Nothobranchius furzeri: one gene and its partner. The protein of the gene in region 1 interacts with the protein of each later gene in a pairwise test. Links are inferred from orthologs where the notes say so. Each region holds a gene or a part of one and is shown in the gene's direction. Other genes may lie near its edges.

The links.
Region 2: the proteins of pcbd1 (region 1) and hnf1a interact in binary tests that used the Homo sapiens proteins (3 or more experiments, as listed by UniProt). The link is inferred for Nothobranchius furzeri from reciprocal best matches to the Homo sapiens genes PCBD1 and HNF1A.

What each region holds. Positions count from the first base shown.
Region 1 is NC_091752.1:6,172,018-6,181,928, forward strand, and holds the start of pcbd1 (pterin-4-alpha-carbinolamine dehydratase), read left to right. Parts: upstream 1-4,755; 5' UTR 4,756-5,050; coding exon 5,051-5,239; intron 5,240-5,775; coding exon 5,776-5,907; intron 5,908-9,911. UniProt on the Homo sapiens protein: Involved in tetrahydrobiopterin biosynthesis. Seems to both prevent the formation of 7-pterins and accelerate the formation of quinonoid-BH2. Coactivator for HNF1A-dependent transcription.
Region 2 is NC_091757.1:33,386,179-33,395,414, reverse strand, and holds the end of hnf1a (hepatocyte nuclear factor 1-alpha), read left to right. Parts: intron 1-844; coding exon 845-1,044; intron 1,045-1,127; coding exon 1,128-1,308; intron 1,309-1,540; coding exon 1,541-1,743; intron 1,744-2,026; coding exon 2,027-2,169; intron 2,170-2,245; coding exon 2,246-2,387; intron 2,388-2,463; coding exon 2,464-2,637; intron 2,638-2,708; coding exon 2,709-2,824; intron 2,825-2,909; coding exon 2,910-2,994; intron 2,995-6,559; coding exon 6,560-6,687; 3' UTR 6,688-7,036; downstream 7,037-9,236. Other genes in the region: c17h12orf43 (protein CUSTOS), read right to left, coding at 7,153-7,465, 7,549-7,636, 7,731-7,801, 7,872-7,970, 9,066-9,096. UniProt on the Homo sapiens protein: Transcriptional activator that regulates the tissue specific expression of multiple genes, especially in pancreatic islet cells and in liver. Binds to the inverted palindrome 5'-GTTAATNATTAAC-3'.

The sequences.
Region 1 (9,911 bases):
TGATGTTGTAATGACTATTCAGATCTGATAGCTTTTCAGAAAGGGAGGAGCTTTGATGCCATGGCGATTTCTGGCGTGACGCTGTGACCTTACGTTTGACTGTAACTTCCACAAACAGCCTCCGATTTGCCAGAGACTGAACATCACATCACCAGTGTGGTAAAGATAGAGTATCTCCTAGTGGTGAGACGTGTAATGCTGGGCTCAGAGGGGATGCTGAATCAGGGTGAGGTGTGGACGAGGAGGCCGTTCACGGTTTCTGGTGTTGGGGTGGTTGACTTTCTGTTCTGCCAGACGTGCCCTGGTGCCCCCGGCTGCCGGCCAGGATGGACAAGCGCGGAGCTGGGTTTGGAGAGCGTCGGGGATGGAGCGGAGGGGGTGCGGAAGGAGGGCGAGCAGCTTCGCTGCGAGGGCCGAACGACGCTGCTTGCAGCTTTAATTTTTTTTTTTTTTTCTTTCTTTTTTTTTCTTCCGCGTCTTTGGATGGCCTTTAGGGGGTCTTAGCATATCCAAAAAGTCACCAAATTCTGGCCCAATATAGAAAGTGCGTGAAATTTACGTATTTCACTGGCAACGTGAAAGTTGGTAAAAAAATGTTTCAACAGCGCCCCCTGGAAAATTAAAAATACCCCTCCGCTTTGACCTTTTTTCATAGTAGAGTGATGAAATTTGGTACACTTGTAGAACTCAACAATACGCACAGAAAAGCCTCTTGCACCCATGGTCAATATCAAACAGGAAGTCGGCCATTTTGGACTAAAGTGGCCATTTTGACCCCGTTTTGGCCATTTCTAGGGTCTATATTTGGTTTAACAGTTTGGTCATTTTTCGCACGATCGTCTCAAAAATAGTGTGCGATCGAACAGAAGCGATGGACGATTAAAATGAGACAATAAAATTGACTTTTCGTAAATACTGAAGGGGCGGGACCAGGCCTCAAAGTTCGAGCACTCGCCAAAAAAATTCAAATTGCTATAGATTCATAAATGAAAGAATTACAGTTAAAGAAATGTTCTAAGGACAATCGTCGTCGACCTCCGAAGACAAATGAATGGTCGATTGATGATGTCACATAAGCCCCGCCCCCTCAGGACTTAAAAGGTCAAGATTTACTGGGAAATTTTCCAAAATTCGCCCTTTCCAATAACCACCCCAAATTTGTAGCGGGTAACTGAAGACAAGTTGGGGTTGCTTGGCGTCACTTTATGGGAGTTTTCTCCAGAAGGCGGGGCTGTGGCGGCGCGGCGAAGTCAGGCGTACCGCTTAGGCCTTACGTTTGCCTCCCATTTCGTCATTTCTAGAGATATCGCCACAAAACCTCTTGGGAGTGATCCTAGTTCAGCCCCCCACAAAATGTGATGTGAACATCCGGTGGGCGTGGCCTATTTTCTGAAATAGCGCCCCCTAGGACCATTAAAACTGTCAGCCCCAAGTCATGCTTTGACTGAGGATTATGAAATTTGGCACACTAATGTGGTGTCTCAGGACCTACAAAAAAGTCTCTTGGAGCCAAGTGCAAAGTCGCACAGGAAGTCGGCCATTTTGGTCCAAGTACTCGATTTAGTGGTTTTCGCACACGTTGTTTGGAGAGTGATGCTCCATCGCCCTTTTCACCAATCGCCTTCAAACTTCTGCTATAGACTCTTAAGACATAAAGGAAAAAATTCAACCGTCGGATTTTAAATAAGTATAAAGGTGTGGGCGTGGCTAAGCCTCAAACTTTGACCTGTCACCACGCCACTCTTTTTTTCACAGCTACCTATTGGACTCCTTTTACCCAATCGCCAGCAATCTCTGGCGAATAGCAGCTGACAAGTTGAGGTCACTTAGTCTCCAGTACTGGCAGGTTTTGAAAAAAGGCGGGGCTTTGGGAGCATGGCAAAATTCACCATCACGCCATGGCAATACGTTTGCCTCTCATTTCTTCAATTATCGTGCCATCACCACAAAATGTCTGGTGAGTGATCCTAGTCTGACCCCCAATAGATTTGGACAGCTGTAGTTTGTGGGCGTGGCCTATTTTCTGAAATGGCGCCCTCTAGGACCATTAAAACTGTCAGCCCCTAGCCATGCTTTGACTGAGGAGTACGAAATCTGGTACACTAATGTGGTGTCTCCGGTCCTACAAAAAAGTCTCTTGGAGCCAAGTGCAAAGTCGCACAGGAAGTCGGCCATTTTGGTCCAAGTAGTCGATTTAGTGGTTTTCGCACACGTTGTTTGGAGAGTGTTACACCATTGCCCTTTTCACCAATCACCTTCAAACTTCTGCTATAGACTCTTAAGACAAAGGGGAAAAAATTCAACCTACGGATTTTAAATAAGTATAAAGGTGTGGGCGTGGCTAAGCCTCAAACTTTGACCTGTCGCCACGCCACTCTTTTTTTCACAGCTCCCTATTGGACTCCTTTTAACCAATCACCAGCAATCACTGGCAAATAGCAGCAGACAAGTTGAGGTCACTTGGTCTATAGTACTGGCAGCTTTCGAATAAAGGCGGGGCTTTGGGAGCATGGCGAAATTCGCCATCACGCCATGGAAATACGTTTGTCTCTCATTTCTTCAATCATTGTGACATCGCCACACAATTTCTGATGAGTGATCCTACTCTGACCCCTAATAGAATTGGACAGCTGAAGTTTGTGGGCGTGGCCTATTTTCTGAAATAGCGCCCCCTAGGACCATTAAAACTGTCAGCCCCAAGCCGTGCTTTGACTGAGGATCACGAAATTTGGCACACTAATGTAGTGTCTCAGGACCTACAAAAAAGTCTCTTGGAGCCAAGCGCAATGTCGCACAGGAGGTCGGCCATTTTGGTCCAAGTACTCGATTTAGTGGTTTTCGCACACGTTATTAGGAGAATGATGTCTCGTCGCCCTTTCCACCGATCACCTTCAAACTCTTGCTATATACTCTTAAGACATAGAGGAAAAGATTCAACCGTCGGATTTTAAATAAGTATAAAGGTGTGGGCGTGGCTAAGCCTCAAACTTTGACCAGTCGCCATTACGTTACTTGACTCAATAACTCCCTTGTGCATGATCAGATCAATTTCAAACTTTGTCCATGTGATCACTGACCACATCTGAAGACAGTGACAATGTGGACAGCTGGCATCACCTAAGCCCCGCCCCCTGACTACAGGAAGTCTTCTGTTTTATGGTGAAATGCCCATATTTGTCCCCTCTAATTTAGTCAACATGACACTAAGGTCATGCACTGTCTTCATGATGTTCTAATGACTATTCAGATCTGATAGCTTTTCAGAAAGGGAGGAGCTTTGATGCCATGGCGATTTCTGGCGTGACGCTGTGACCTTACGTTTGACTGTAACTTCCACAAACAGCCTCCGATTTGCCAGAGACTGAACATCACATCACCAGTGTGGTAAAGATAGAGTATCTCCTAGTGGTGAGACGTGTAATGCTGGGCTCAGAGGGGATGCTGAATCAGGGTGAGGTGTGGACGAGGAGGCCGTTCACGGTTTCTGGTGTCGGGGTGGTTGACTTTCTGTTCTGCCAGACGTGCCCTGGTGCCCCCGGCTGCCGTCCAGGATGGACAAGCGCGGAGCTGGGTTTGGAGAGCGTCGGGGATGGAGCGGAGGGGGTGCGGAAGGAGGGCGAGCAGCTTCGCTGCGAGGGCCGAACGACGCTGCTTGCAGCTTTAATTTTGATTGGTTCTGACAAAGCTTCTGAGTTGAAGATATTTGAAGAAATAATTTCTATTTATATTATACTTAAATATATTAGAGTATCGGAATTTGGATTATAAAGGTCGTATATCGTCTTCAACCCCTTTAAAGCTCACTGTTGAAAAATGGTATCTGCTCTTCCTGGAGCAAAGTGCTGATTACCCCAAATTGGAGTGTACAGAGACAAATTATTAGGCTCTTTTAAATATTTCCGAATTTTCGACCAAATATTAATCATATTTTTAACGACTGGGTTTTTGCTTTTCTTTATTAGGTCAGAAATTTGATCAGAGTACAGAGATGGTGGCAATGGCAAACTTAAACCTTCTGACTCCATTTCCCTCCACTGTGGGGAATCTCCTGTTTCAAAATGAAATGTAATTGACCTTAAATGAGTTGCCCAGTAATACCAGATTATATTAGGACATTTTGAACCACCTTTACTATGTGGTATGTGTAATAAAGACAATCGAATCTTAGCTTTAGCATTTTTCCATATAAATTCAATAAGCAGCTTTTGAACTTTCCCCAAAATCTCAGCTGGTGGAGGTACAGGCACATTTTGAAAAACATATAGTATTTTGGGGAGTATATTCATTTTAATAACACTAATTCTGCCAATCAAAGACAGAGATAAAGGCATCCATCGGTCTATCAATCCTGTTATGTCATTCATTAGGAGTTCATAATTAGATCTGACAATCAAATTCAACTTACGCCTAATTTCTATCCCTAAATGTGAGAAATGGTCCACTATTTTAAAGAGCAAGTCACCCCCAAATCAACTTTTTTTTGCTGATAAACTAAATAAACGAGTGTCTAGTCGTGCTGCAGACACGTGTAGTCAATAATTAGGTAATTCAGTGCATCTTAGTTAAAATTTAAATATTCTGCCTAAAACTGTCAGTGTTGTGCCTTTGTCAGGTAAAAACTCTGCACTGCCTTTGAATTTAAATCTGCCACCGCTATTGGCTAAGAGGTATGCTATGATGTAAACTGGTCCTTATGATGTCACAATTCTGTCGTGAGCCTGAGTGTGTGTGTGTATTTGTCAGCGGCTCCGCCCTCTCAGTCTGCCAGGCAACAGAATTTGTTGCATTTTTCAAACATGAAGTGGGAGTGGAGTTAGACTCTGGTAGGGGGTGACTTGCTCTTTAAAGGCCCGCACTTGTGGAGTTGGTCTTTCAGCTTCTTTCTCACTAAGCAGTAGGAGAGAGGATTTTGTGTTGTTTATAGTCTCAGCTGGTTTTTAATATAACTTCAGCCTCCTGTCTCCACTGAGCAAACAGAGCTGGCCTTTATGTCACAGAGCCTGCAGCGATAGCTGGCCCACCGCGCGCCTTGTGCAACAGATGGCTGTTCATGATTAAACAGCTGGCTGAAGGGCCTTTCAGCTGGGGTGGGGATTCTACTCAGGCTCCTGCATGGGCAGCTAAGCAGGACCCAGTCCTCCCCTCCCCAGATGGGATCATTCCAGCTACACTCTGGCTGTCACAGCACATTTGCCTCTGTGCAACAGGCGGCAGGAGCTGGACACACACTACAAACATGGTGAGTGCACGAGCCTGGTGTAAAAAATCAGGCTGCACACTTTTTCACTTCTTTGTACAACAATTATTTTAAGAGACAAGAAAAAACGTTTGATTATTCTCTGACGGTCACGAGGACGCTTCGCTGCACCTAAACCAACATCCCCGCCGCTGATAAACCAGGTTACTGCGTTGCTAAGATACCTGATGCTGTCACCGCTCTTGTTCCTGTCTGCGGCGGGAAAACCTGCTCGTGTTGTTCACTTGGAAGGGGAGAGTTTAAAATGTGAAACTCCTCTGAGCTGAGAGTCAGCAGAGTGAGTGAATAACTCAAAGTCCACATGACAGAGATTAGGAAGCATTTGATCCCCCCCCCCCCCACACACACACACACACAGGCGCGCGCACACACACACACACGCACCACTAAATACCTCTCAACCAGCTAGCTTTTAAACAACAGAATGCAGCTGCTCATTGTTTCCAGATGGGAGTCTGTGCAGCCAATCACAGTTTGTGGCTGTGAAGCTGCCCCTCTGAAATCTGTTGTCCTCTCAGGCCGGAAAGATCCAGAGTCTGACTGAGGAGGAGAGAGCCCATCTACTCCCGATGCTCCGCAACGCCCAGTGGGTGGAGGTGGTGGGGCGAGATGCCATCTACAAAGAGTTTATCTTCAAAGACTTCAATCAGGTTTTTACTCTTAACTCCTTCCTTACTAAACTCAGTGTGTGTGTGTGTGTGTGTGTGTTTACAGATTTCTTTTGCCACACCTAAATGTTTCAGATCAGCACACATTTCAAAATCAAAGTCAAGCAGTTATTAAGTTCACTTGTGAACTACTTGTTCACATAGAGCTATGTTGATTTGGATCACTGTGTCCATCCATCCATCCATCCATCCATTTTCATCTGCCTATCTGAGGTTGGGTAGCGGGGGCAGCAGTGGCCAGCTTCTCCAGGGAATCCCAAGGCGTTCCCTGGCCAGGTGAGAGACATAGACCCTCCAGCATGTCCTGGGTCTCCCTTTAGGCCTCCTCCCGGTTGGACGTGCCCGGAGAACCTCACCACGGAGGTATCACCAGGAGGCATCCTGACCAGATGCCCGAGCCACCTCAACTGGCTCCTCTTGATGTGGAGGAGCAGCGGGTCTACTCCAAGCCCCTCCTGGATGACCGAGCTTCTCACCCTATCTCTAAGGGAGAGCCCAGACACCCTGCGGAGAAAACTCATTTTGGCCGCTTGTATCCGCGATCTCGTTCTTTTGGTCACTACCCAAAGCTCGTGACCATAGGTGAGGGCAGATCTACCGGTAAATCGAGAACATCTTTCTCTTCTTATGCTTATGTAACCCAGAAGCTAGAACCTTAATGAGGTATTAACTAATTGGCTTACTAATATGATCCATCCTCAATTTAGATAAAATATAAAATATAAATTAAGGAAATTAACAATACTAATTAATAGATATCTAATTAACTAATAGATAATTTCATAATGAATTATTGGAAGGGTGAATAACTAAAATAACGAGTTTAATATTAAACATCGGTTAAAACAAGAATCTTGAACATCCCTAACAGAAACAGAAGAGGAAAGCTGTATACTATTGGTCCAGGTGGGAATCTGAAATTTCATTGGCTGAGAGAAATAAGTCCCGCCTCCGCGAAATAAAACCGTGCGACGCAGCTGAGCGAGAGGAGAGACAAACGGCTGTGCAGCACGCAGATACAGAAAGCAAAGACTGAGCGGTTAGAGAGAGAGAGAGAGAGAAAAAAAAACAACGGTCGAGGCCGTGAAGAACCCTGATTTGGGTGCCGCATAGATAGAGGGAGAGGCGGACTTGACTCCTTCTAATAAGAGCTAGGAACTTGGAACCAACGCGGTGAGTAAAGAAAAAAAGAAGAGAAAAAGCTAACGATGCAACTTAAAAAAAAAAAAGGAAACTTAAATAGCTTATCAAATTAATTCCATTCTTATAGATTTGTGTGGAGACGACAGAGTGAACCAATCCTCTGTAGGAGGGAACCGTTGGAGCGCGTTGGTGAGTGAATGAGATTAAATTCAGTAAATTATTAAATTCAAAAAGCTAATTACAGCAACCGAGGTGACAGCAGTGGGCTGCTAGACGTTAGATCCCAGGAGTTAACATCTCAAACTACCAGTTAACGGTGGTAGGGCATATAGGAGTTAACGGCTCAAACCGCCAGTTAACGGCGGTAGGGCCTAGATGTACAAGGTCCTCAGGGGCGTTATAGCTAACGCCATAGAATTAGCAATGCGTCCCTTAACCAAACATTTAATAATAAAAAAAATAGATAAATAAAAATAAATAAAAGCTAACTGATTAGGGAGGAATTATTTTACAAAGGTGGACCAAAGGACCAGAATTTATATTTTGTTGAATTTTGTTATAGAACATTTTATTTATTTATTTATTTATTTATTTATTTATTTATTTATTGTGTTACAGATATACAAGGTGTCACAATGCTGTATAGAAACACAACTAAATGTATCCTTGTTGTCATGAATGTATTTCTTGTTGAATAGTGTAGAGTAATAGAATCTAACTGAGCCTATTGAGCTGAACAATTGTTGTCATATGTAATTATATTTCCAGAGCTACTGAGAATTATTTTAATAGACAATCAAATTGATGTTATGTTAGTTGAACTGTGAACCCAAACATGATTGGCTATGCCAATAGAGTGAAGCATTTGTTTAAGTCTGTAAGACTTTATGCTGTGATGTGACGAGAAGGGTCGATGCCAACTCGCTAACAGTCCTGTTGTTTACAGGCTGGGTTTTTTTTTTCCTTGGGTTTGATCCCGACTCCTATGATCACTCACTTGGAACGAGAACTGGATTTCTTCCTGACGAGGGAGATGGCGAGCCTTAACCACTGAACGAACCAGGACATCTCAAGTAACTGAAGAGCAGACTGCTCTCTTCTGTGAACAATCTCAACGGTGTGGTAGGAAAAAATCGCACCACCGGACTCTGACTTTCACCCCAAGCGTGGGGATTTGACTTGACGCCGGCTGACTTGTGACTCATATGATCAAATCTCATACCGACCATTTTACTATTGTCGATTGTTTTCATCTGTTTTTGTGTGTTATCTTTATGTGTTATATTTCCCATTATTATTAAAATTTAGTATATAAACCGTTTCATGCTATACCCGTGACTCCAGCCATTCTTAAACAACCTCCAATTCTCCCCGAACCTAATTATTGGCCCATTTGTTTATTTTTTCTTTTAATTATCTTATTGTATCCTGTAATCCGGTTACATAAAACTTGGCGAGCCAGCCAGGAGAATTGTAGAGTTGTTACCTTAGCTAACCTTTGACTGACATCATAAGAGTGCCTGGAGGTCACAGTGGTTTGCCATTTTGGCATTATTGGTACTTTTGAGTGTTTTAAAATGGAAGTTGTGAAAACAGAAAAGGTCAAAGTTTCAAATGCTGTTTTAATCAGTGGGTTAACTGATACAGACCTTGATAACGAAGTCTTTGGGTTTATGGAAGGATTCGGACCAGTTAACAGGCGCATTAAGTTACCAAACTGTGATCAGATTATTGTGGAGTTTCAACATGAAGCCACTGTTAAGGAATTAAAGAAACAATGTTTACCCTATGACAAACCTTGTACTAGGAACCCAAATGTTTTCTTCCATATTCAAGACCTAGCCAGCGCGTACAGTCTAGAAACTAGCACATCTGCCACTGATGCCTATCTGTCAGAGCTCAGGGACATAGCTGCGCGTAGCAATCAATCATTTAAAGACCTTCTAATGGAGGAACTGGCAAAAATTGGGGAATCTTTAGGAAGGGATACCCATGCATCTGAACCAGTCACTGAACTAGAGCCAATGCTCCATAGTGACCAAGTTACATATTCCCTGCCTTTAACACCAGAAGTTAACTATATGAACAACTCAAAGGACAATTGTCCACCTACAGAGACTGGAAAACAAAACCCTTGCATTCCACCAAATCTTTTAAACACACCTGAGGTTCAGCGAGTTATTGTGGAACACATTGTTAAAAGCAGTGAGGTTATCCCTCCGCCTACTTCACAATACAGACTAAAACCGTTCTCAGGGCGAGTTCCACACCCTTCTTTTGAAACTGACTATGATACTTGGCGTAGTAGTGTAGTGTTATGCATAAATGATCCTTCACTCACCAAGTCCCAAATTGTACGAAGAATCGTGGAGAGTCTGTCAGCCCCAGCAGCGAGCATCGTTAAAGCTCTTAGTCCAAAATCCGACCCGGAAACGTACCTTGAACATCTCGATTCAGCTTACGCAGCTGTCGAAGACGGCGACGAGCTCTTTGCTCGCTTCTTAAACACAAACCAGGACAGTGGTGAAAAACCTTCCGATTACTTTCAGAGGTTATACACCTTGTTAAACCTAGTTATTCAGAGGAATGGAATTTCCTCCAGTGACGCCGACCAGCAGCTGCTCAAGCAGTTTTGCAGAGGCTGTTGGGACAGCTCGCTGATTTCAAACCTGCAACTCGAACAAAAGAAAGACAACCCGCCTCATTTTACAGCACTTCTCCTCAAACTGCGCACTGAAGAAGACAAACAGGCTACTAAAGCAGCACGCATGAAACAACACTTAGGGGCACAACGAACTAGAGTGTATTCAAATGTGCAAACAACATGCTCTCAGAGTAAAAAC
Region 2 (9,236 bases), on another chromosome or scaffold:
GCGGCACAAATTGAGAGGAACTGTCATCAATGTTAATGCTAAAGGATCTATCTGTCAGATAGGATGCAGGAGCAGAATAATTTAGGAGGGGCTTCTTTACCTCCCACCCACGCTTCAAGCCTTCCAAGCAAGATGTTGTTATCAACTGTATCAAAAGCCACTGACAGGCCAAGAAGTAATTTCATAACACAAGAGCCTTTTTTCATGGACACCAGGATATATGGTATTTAATAACATGCATATTGGCAGTACTATGATTTGGTCTGAAACCAGATTAGAGTTTTTCTAGGAAATGAAGATCCTCAATTTGAAGTGAAAGCTGAGCATAAGCTCTTTTCTCCATGATTTTAGATAGAAATGGAAGTTTGGAGATTGGGAGAAACCATAAAATCTGCTCTCTACCAGAAAACCCTAAAGGATATGTATAACTTTTGACCTTAAATAGGTCGTCTGGGCTGGAAAACCTCCGATTTGACTGAATTTAAGCAAAGCAAAGAAGAGTGGGGCAAACATTTTCCAGAGATCTGAAAGACGCAGTCACTGCCACCAATAGTGTTGAAATCAGTGAGTAAGTTTAGGCTCTGTTGGTTTGGATAGCTTTTTCCTTTAATAAATGAAATCGTATGAAAATTGCATTTTGTAATTACTCAGGGTACCTTTGTCTCATACTGAACTACGATTGCTGATCTGAGACTTTAAAGGGTTTTTTAATAAAAATGCTAAGTAAATCTCTAAGGTGGCGATAGCTTTTCAAAGTTTTGTGTTTATGTCCATTTCTGCCAGAGATTTGGAAATTATCAAATATGTAGTAAATGTATTAAGTTCCTTCACCTCTGCTGAACAGGGAAGACCCCTGGCATGTTGCAAAAATGGTGAAAAGCTACATGCAGCAGCACAACCTACCTCAGAGAGAGGTGGTAGAGTCCACGGGACTCAACCAGTCCCACCTCTCCCAGCACCTCAATAAAGGCACACCCATGAAGAACCAAAAGAGAGCCGCCCTGTACAGCTGGTACGTCAAGAAGCAGTGTGAGATCAGCCAGCGTGAGTACATAAGCTTTTGTTGAGCATGCTCTTCTTGCTGTGGAGACACACTGGTCACGGTAACGTCTTTCATTCCTCTCCAGAGTTCACCAATGCTAAGCACGGTCTAGCACCTGCAGAAGAACAAGGGGAGGAGACTAAGAAAGGACGCAGGAACAGGTTCAAGTGGGGTCCAGCGTCCCTGCAGATCCTCTTTAACGCCTATGAACGACAGAAGAACCCCAGCAAGGAAGAAAGGGAAGGACTGGTGGAGGAGTGTAACAAGTAAAGATCAGACCTCAGTGGGGTTAAATTGGCCAGATAATACCTGAATTATAAATGCTACGTGCTTCAAATTGATCTAGTCTCACATGTTGAGATGAACTTTAATCTAATCTATATCTTTCCTGAAAACATGTTATATGTGAAATGAACATATTTTATAAATAACTGTTGTTAAATTCAACATTTTTCACAAAATTAAGCCATTTATCAGTTTATGTTGTATCCAAATCAGGGCCGAGTGTCTCCAGAGAGGGGTATCTCCCTCCCAGCTAGCAGGTCTGGGCTCCAACCTGGTTACTGAGGTCCGAGTGTACAACTGGTTCGCCAACCGCCGTAAAGAGGAGGCCTTTCGCCACAAGCTGGCCCTGGACACATCCTTCACCACCCAGTCGGCTCCCTCCTCCAATCACGCACTTCCTCCAAGTCCTGAACATGGTAAAACCTCAGCAACCCTCGCATCTATGAGGCGATGATTGTAAAGGAAAAGGTTAAATGTAAACATTTATAAAGTAGAAATCTAAATCTATAGTAAAAACGAAGAAGGCGACCAAATTAAAAGCAGGGGTCATTTGGAAACCTTTTCTCAGAATTTAAAGCTTGTGTGTCATGCTGAAACAGCTTTTCTGTGGAGAGAGTACTTGACTATACTGGTTCTGATGTGTGTGTTAACCATCATTGTTGTATTTGCTCTGAAACCTGACCTGTCATTATTATCCAGGTGTGAAATACAGTCAGCACATATTATGTGAGCCAGCTAGCTCAGTGAGAAGCAGCGCAGGGGAGCGAGTGGGGCATCTTGTGGTCAGTCCCGTCCAACTGGAACCCAGCCACACACTCCTTGAGAACCATAACCCTAAGCTGGTGAGATGATGTGCTCCTGTATTCTTCGTCAGCCATCAAAGATGCCATCATGACCATGCTTTTTCTTTGATTACAGGTGTCCAGCAGTGGCCCACTGCCCCCAGTAAGCACTCTGACCTCTCTGCACAGTCTGTCTGCCCCCCCTGCCTCCTCACAAAGCCTCATCATGGCCTCAGTGCCCAGCGTCATGAGTCTCGGGGAGTCTTCTCTTCTCATCGGTAACACAGATGCTTCATTTTTCAGGTTATGTCTAGTGTTTGGTTTTTACTGTGACGTCTGATGTTTCACATACAGGTTTAGCTTCCACGCAGCCTCAGACCGTTCCTGTCATAAACAACATGGGAGGTGGTTTCACCACCCTCCAGCCGATCTCATTCCAGCAGCAGCTCCACACATCCCACCAGCAGCAGATACCTCAGCAGCTCCAGAGCCCCTTCATGGCGACCATGGCACAGCTGCCATGTCACAGTAAGACCTCAACAACATCACAGCAGTTTAACACAAGAGCTGAATACTGAGGCGCCTGTTCTTCCTCATAGTGTATAACAAGCTGGACTCACCCCAGTACCACTCATCCAGTTTGCTGTCTCAGGCCATGCTCATCGCTGACAGCAGCAGTCTGGGGACACTCACCAGTCTGGCTGCAGTCAGACAGGTACTGGTTCTGATGGGTTTGTTGCTCTCTCAGAGTCTCAGGAATCTAATCTTCACATCTTCTTCCTCAATTTGGTTTTGTTCAGATCCTAACAGCAGATCCAGATGAAGACACAGACTCACCTATACAGGAGGATTCTTTACACTTGCAGCCACACACACCTGTGCCAGGTAAAACACACTTAATACAGGCCTGCTGAATGTGTTGCAGACATTACCAACAGATCCCCAACATAAATCAAGGACTGAGCCTTTTTAAAAGGCACTTTGATTACCTGAGTTGTTACTCACTCATTAATTGTTTTTATAGTTATTACAAGCAATTAAACATCATTTTAGATTAAATGTTAAAAGTTTCTTTATGATGGGATTAATTTTAATGTTTGACATTTTCTTCAGTAACATTACAGGTGCTGCCCAGTAAATTAGAATATCATCAAAAGGTTGAAAATATTTCAGTAATTCCATTCAAAACGTGAAACTTGTACATTATATTCATGCAATGCACACAGACCAATGTATTTCCGATGTTTATTACGTTTAATTTTGATATTTATAGGTGACAACCAATGAAAACATCAAATCTGGTATCTCAGAAAATTAGAATATTCTAAAGGCCAATGAAAAAATGTTTGTTTCTCTAATGTTGGCCAACTGAAAAGAATGAACATGAAAAGAATGTGCATGTATAGCACTCAATACTTAGTCGGGGCTCCTTTTGCCTCAATAACTGCAGTAATGCGGCGTGGCATGGACTCGATCAGTCTGTGGCACTGCTCAGGTGTTATGAGAGCCCAGGTTGCTCTGATAGTCGTCTTCAGCTCCTCTGCATTGTTGGGTCTAGCGTATTGCATCCTCCGCTTCACAATACCCCATAGATTTTCTATGGGGTTAAGGTCAGGCGAGTTTGCTGGCCAATCAAGGACAGGGATACCATGGTCCTTGAACCAGGTGCTGGTGGTTTTGGCACTGTGTGCAGGTGCCAAGTCCTGTTGAAAGGTGAAGTCTGCATCCCCATAAAGTTGGTCAGCAGCAGGAAGCATGAAGTGCTCTAAAACTTCCTGGTAGACGGCTGCATTGACCCTGGACCTCAGGAAACAGAGTGGGCCAACACCGGCAGATGACATGGCACCCCACACCATCACTGACGGTGGAAACTTTACACTGGACCTCATGCAACGTGGATTCTGTGCTTCTCCGCTCTTCCTCCAGACTCTGGGTCCTTGATTTCCAAAGGAAATGCAGAACTTGCTTTCATCAGAAAACATAACTTTGGACCACTCAGCATCAGTCCAGTCCTTTTTGTCCTTGGCCCAGGCGAGACGCTTCTTGCGCTGTTTCTTGTTCAAGAGTGGCTTGACACACGGAATGCGACACCTGAATCCCATGTCTTTCATGAGTCTCCTCGTGGTGGTTCTTGAAGCGCTGACTCCAGCTGCAGTCCACTCTTTGTGGATCTCCCCCACATTTTTGAATGGGTTTGTCGTCACAATTCTCTGCAGGGTGCGGTTATCCCTAGAGCTTGTACACTTTTTTCTACCACATTTTTTCCGTCCCTTCGCCTGTCTGTTAATGTGCTTGGACACAGAGCTCTGCGAACAGCCAGCTTCTTTAGCAATCACCTTTTGTGTCTTGCCCTCCTTGTGCAAGGTGTCAATGATTGTCTTTTGGACAGCTGTTAAGTCAGAAGTCTTCCCCATGATTGTGGTGCCTTCAAAACAAGACTGAGGGACCTTTTAAAGGCCTTTGCAGGTGTTTTGAGTAAATCAGCTGATTAGAGTGGCAGCAGGTGTCTTCTATATTCAGCCTTTTCAGAATATTCTAATTTTTTGAGATACCAAATTTGGAGTTTTCATTAGTTGTCACTTATGAATATCAAATTTAAATGTAATGAACATTGGAAATACATTGGTCTGTGTGCATTGCATGAATATAATGTACAAGTTTCACGTTTTGAATGGAATTACTGAAATATTTTCAACCTTTTGATGATATTCTAATTTACTGGCCAGCACCTGTATATTAGACATTAAGCTACCCCGTTGTTAAAGAGATACCTATTGTTTGGGTTTATTGTTGACAAGCGTTAGAGGACATGTTTAATAAATGAAAGGGTCGTTTTAACAGCTTACAAACCAAAGTGATACAAATCGGGCGTTATGGAAGAAATAAGTTATCTTTTTTACACAAACAGAAAAAAGGTTTACAGAGTCCCAGGCCTTGTTTCTTTGTGCTTTTCTTGTCATCTGTTTAAAAGGCCTTGGTCGAAATTCCTGCAGGTTTTTCAAAGGTTGTCTTTAGATTTATGCTGATTTTTTGTACCCGGAGAAAGTCTTTGTTACTAAGCCATACAAGTCTGGCCTATAAATGAAAAGAGTTTCTAAACTCAAGGTTTAAACCATTGTTGTTTTGACACATAAGAAACAACTTTCACCACGGGGTCTACAACTTTGTCTTGTTTTTAATTGTTGTTTTTAATCTGTTTAATTTTTTTTATCTTTTGTTGTATTTTTTAATGTGCTTGCTTTTTATTGTTGTGTTCAGCACCTGTATGTAGAGCTGAAGTAAAAAATGTCATCCTGTGGTTAAATTTGATTACTGCAACCACTTTACATAATTGTGGAGCTTTTCGCCGGCTGTCGTCAAAGTACAATTGTCGGCTGCAGTAGTTTATACTTCTCTGAGCTCCACAACGGAGACACCCACATGGAGTATTGGAAAGAATTCCACATGTGCAGGCAGCGGAGTGTTGCAAAACAATTCCCCACTAGGATAACAAGAGGGCGTTGCCCTTTTCTGTGGTCCTGCCACCAGAACACTCGTGTATCTGGTCCACGATTGTGTATTTACTAATGTGTTTATGTATTTCAGAGACTTTATAACACAGACAAATTTGTCTTTCGTTCTCCGCCACCTCTAAACCCACGTTTCCCATCATTTCCATCCATGTTTTTTGTACTCCTTCAGTCACGGGTGAATAAACGTTCATGTTTTTGGACTTTTTCAGCGATGCGTTCTTCAATCTGTTCTGGGTCTGCCGCCAGATAGCTTTTTACTTTTTAATGAGGCAAAGGCGGTGCTGGTAATGAATTTACAGGAAGCGGCGTCCTGACTAGTCACAAGCTTGCGGTCTCCGTCACTTTCGACGGATGTTTAAAATTTTGGGCATGTCTCCATTACCCTCTGTGAGCTCGTCGAAGAGCCCTTGCGCCAATGGCGTGTAATGGCGTTGCGTGTCTCGGCACCGACGCACACGGAGAAGTATAAATCAGGCTTTAGCTCGCAGAGACATGACAACCTCACGCTCACTGATGGTAAACAGTAGCTACGTCCCTCCTTCCTTTGCTTTGAAAGGAGAAAAGCGGACAATCACCACAGCCAGCTGGATATGAAATGTTTCAGCATAACCTTCCTCCCAAAATGACTGAAACATTACTCTTTTGGGATTTTCTCACTTTAAAATTCTTATTATATTCATACATATTGCACCTTTAAAGAAATGTTACCAATATTTATTTACTAAAGATAATTCCATATAGTTTCAACTTTTAATCCTAAATCTTCAAATTACTCTTAACTGCTGTGTATAAAACTAGTTGAATATTTAATCATTTGGTCTTCTGTCAAAATGGATTTTTAAATGTCTGCCAAGTTAGCTGCAGTGATAATACTTATAACAGCAACATTTTCTGGACAAAAGCTTGAAATGAACATATTTTCTAACTTTTGTTCCCAGCTGCTTCTGAGAGCCTGGAGCTGTATCCTTCCTCCCAGACAGAACGTCATCAGCCTCACCTCCTCTCATCTTCACCCACAGACATCAGCTCCTACATGCCTTCACAAATGGTCTCCACAGCACAGTAAAACCTTCTCTGGCTCTTTCGTGTCTCCTGCCCTTCAGCTGGACTCTAAAGCCTGATGGGGTTTTGGGACGGGCATCTACAGCTGGTGTACCTTTCCAGATAAACCTGGAGACAGAAGGCTATAATCACGATGTCTCAACTTTATTCAAGTGTAGTCACAGAAGAGACTTACTGAAATCAGCAGAGGATTAACAAGATCAACACCAGCATCTATTTTTATTAAAATAATATTCTGTAAAATTAAAAACTTGTAACTTCTGGTATAAATGCAATTTATATTCTTTTTAAATTTGCAACCAAAATGCTTTTTTTAAGTTTTCATGAGAATTAAGTTTTTGAAACGAGCAAAATGAGTCCCTTCTTTATTCTGAAGCCATTTTAATCCCAAAACTCACTTCAACACACAAACAAAAACCCACAAAAATGTTTACTGTCAAATCTCAGCTCAAAGTTTCTTTGTTTGTGTTTATTTTTTGTTTTGTTTTATTTTCATGTGTTCCTGCTCCAGGTTCCTGTGCTCACTGCTGCTTTCATCATGAGCATCTTCACCAGAGTCCACTTGCTCACTCTCTCCATCATTTTGTTTCCTCTTTTTCTTTTTCCTGACAACATGACTCGCTTCTTCCTTTGCAACTTTCTTCTTTCTCTGTGTTTTTTCTGAGTTGTGAGGCTCTGATGATGAAGAGGATGCAGTGGAGGTAAATGTTGATGAAGGCAACAGATCTTTCACTGACACCACTGCCTCCTTCAGCCTTGTTTCCATTTCACTGTCGCTGTCACTGTAAGAGGCAGAGAAATGTTACACAGAAGTCAAACTGATAATTAAATCTTTCAAAAATAAATAGATAAAAAAGTGAAAAACCTTGAGCTGGGAACAGGCCGACGCCTCACTGGTTCGGGAGGATTATCAGCTTTCTGTCCAGGGATGGATGTAGAAAACAGATGAAAACCTAAATGAAAATAAATAAATAAATAAATAAATAAGTTTAAAAAAATATTTTTAAAGGGTAAAAACAAAATCTGCTTAAAATGCTGAAACGTTACCATCACCAATGTCATCACTGTTTGTAGTTTCCAAACAATTTAAGGTTTTAGGCTTCATTTCTGAAATGCAACTGTAAATCACACAACACTGATTAAAATCAAATTTCCCAATATCAGTACCATATTTTCCTATCAAGTTACCTGTCAAGAAAATGTTCCAGCTTTTTAGCCACATGTGTTTGAAATCCTTTGGTGACCTGGAGCTCGTTGCCATCATGTTCATGAGCAGCGACAACAATACTGTTACAGGACAAAAAAAAAAAAAAAAAAAAAAAAAAAAAAAAAACAGTAAAGAGACCATATCATGGAAAATCCACATTTTGGAGCTTTTTACTTTGTGACAGTTAATTCCTCATGAAAAATACCCCCAACCCCTTTTTTTTGGCAGCGTTTATGCATTTTCCTGTCTCAGCTGCAAGTTTTAAGATTTTAAGGAAAAGCCTTAAGATACTGTTGTCCGTGATGCACTTTGTGACTTGTCAGTGAAAGTGCTATAAAAATAAACTTACTAAGATGCTGTTGTAGTTGAAGTGGACACAGGCAGAGCTTCAGAGTGGTTCATTTCCAGGAGCAAACTCTGGCTGATGAAAATAACTCGCATCTAAGATGAAATTGCATCTCAATAGCGCTATTGTGCCTACCTTTGCTCTCACGTGTTTAAAATAGCATGATCTGGGTCCTTTAAGCTTTATGTTATTGTTCAAAAGTACACCTGCATATTTGTGCCACAAGGAGAAAAAAAATAGGAAGTGATGACAGATGAGTCAAAAGATATGCATGCACACGTGTATGAATGAACACAGTGAGTGTGTTTTGATCATCGACATAATATGGTTTTGATCTATTCTGTATTAATACTGATTAAGGTTTGTTTTGACCGAAGATTCTAGCTTTGGTGTGTTTTTCACTCTGTAGACGCTAAAATACGGAGCAGTCATTTAGCAGCAGCAGATCTTCATTTAATCAGCAGGGCCGAGCTCAAATCGTGGCGGTGGCAGCCTCGCAACATCTGAAGCTTACAAAATATTTATTTTTCTTCAGTAAAATACAGCGCAGATTTAGATGCGTTCTCCGCTATTTTGTAACTCGCTGCCACCTAAATAAAATTAAATACAGGCAACACACTGATTTAGCATGTTAAGCTAACGCGCACTTCTTTGCTGCCCCACCTAGATTTTATCTACATGTTTTTGTTGGTTTTTAAATGGTTTTATGTTTTTATTTTTTATATTAATTTCTGCTGTGCAGCGCTTTGTTTGGTCCTTGGGCCATGTGAAGTCGCTATATAAATAAAGTTTAGTAGTAGTAGTGATTCGCATTATAATACCGACTCACCGCTTTGAGTCTTTCACTTTGCGGTCTCCATCTGGAAAAATAAAATAAAATCGTTGTCAGCCTTTGCTTCAGAAAGATGCCTCATTTACACAAGTCTTAAACAACTACTACAATTCACTACTACAAGTGGTATTCTCGTCTAACTAAAACGTTTATCAGTATTAACTACTT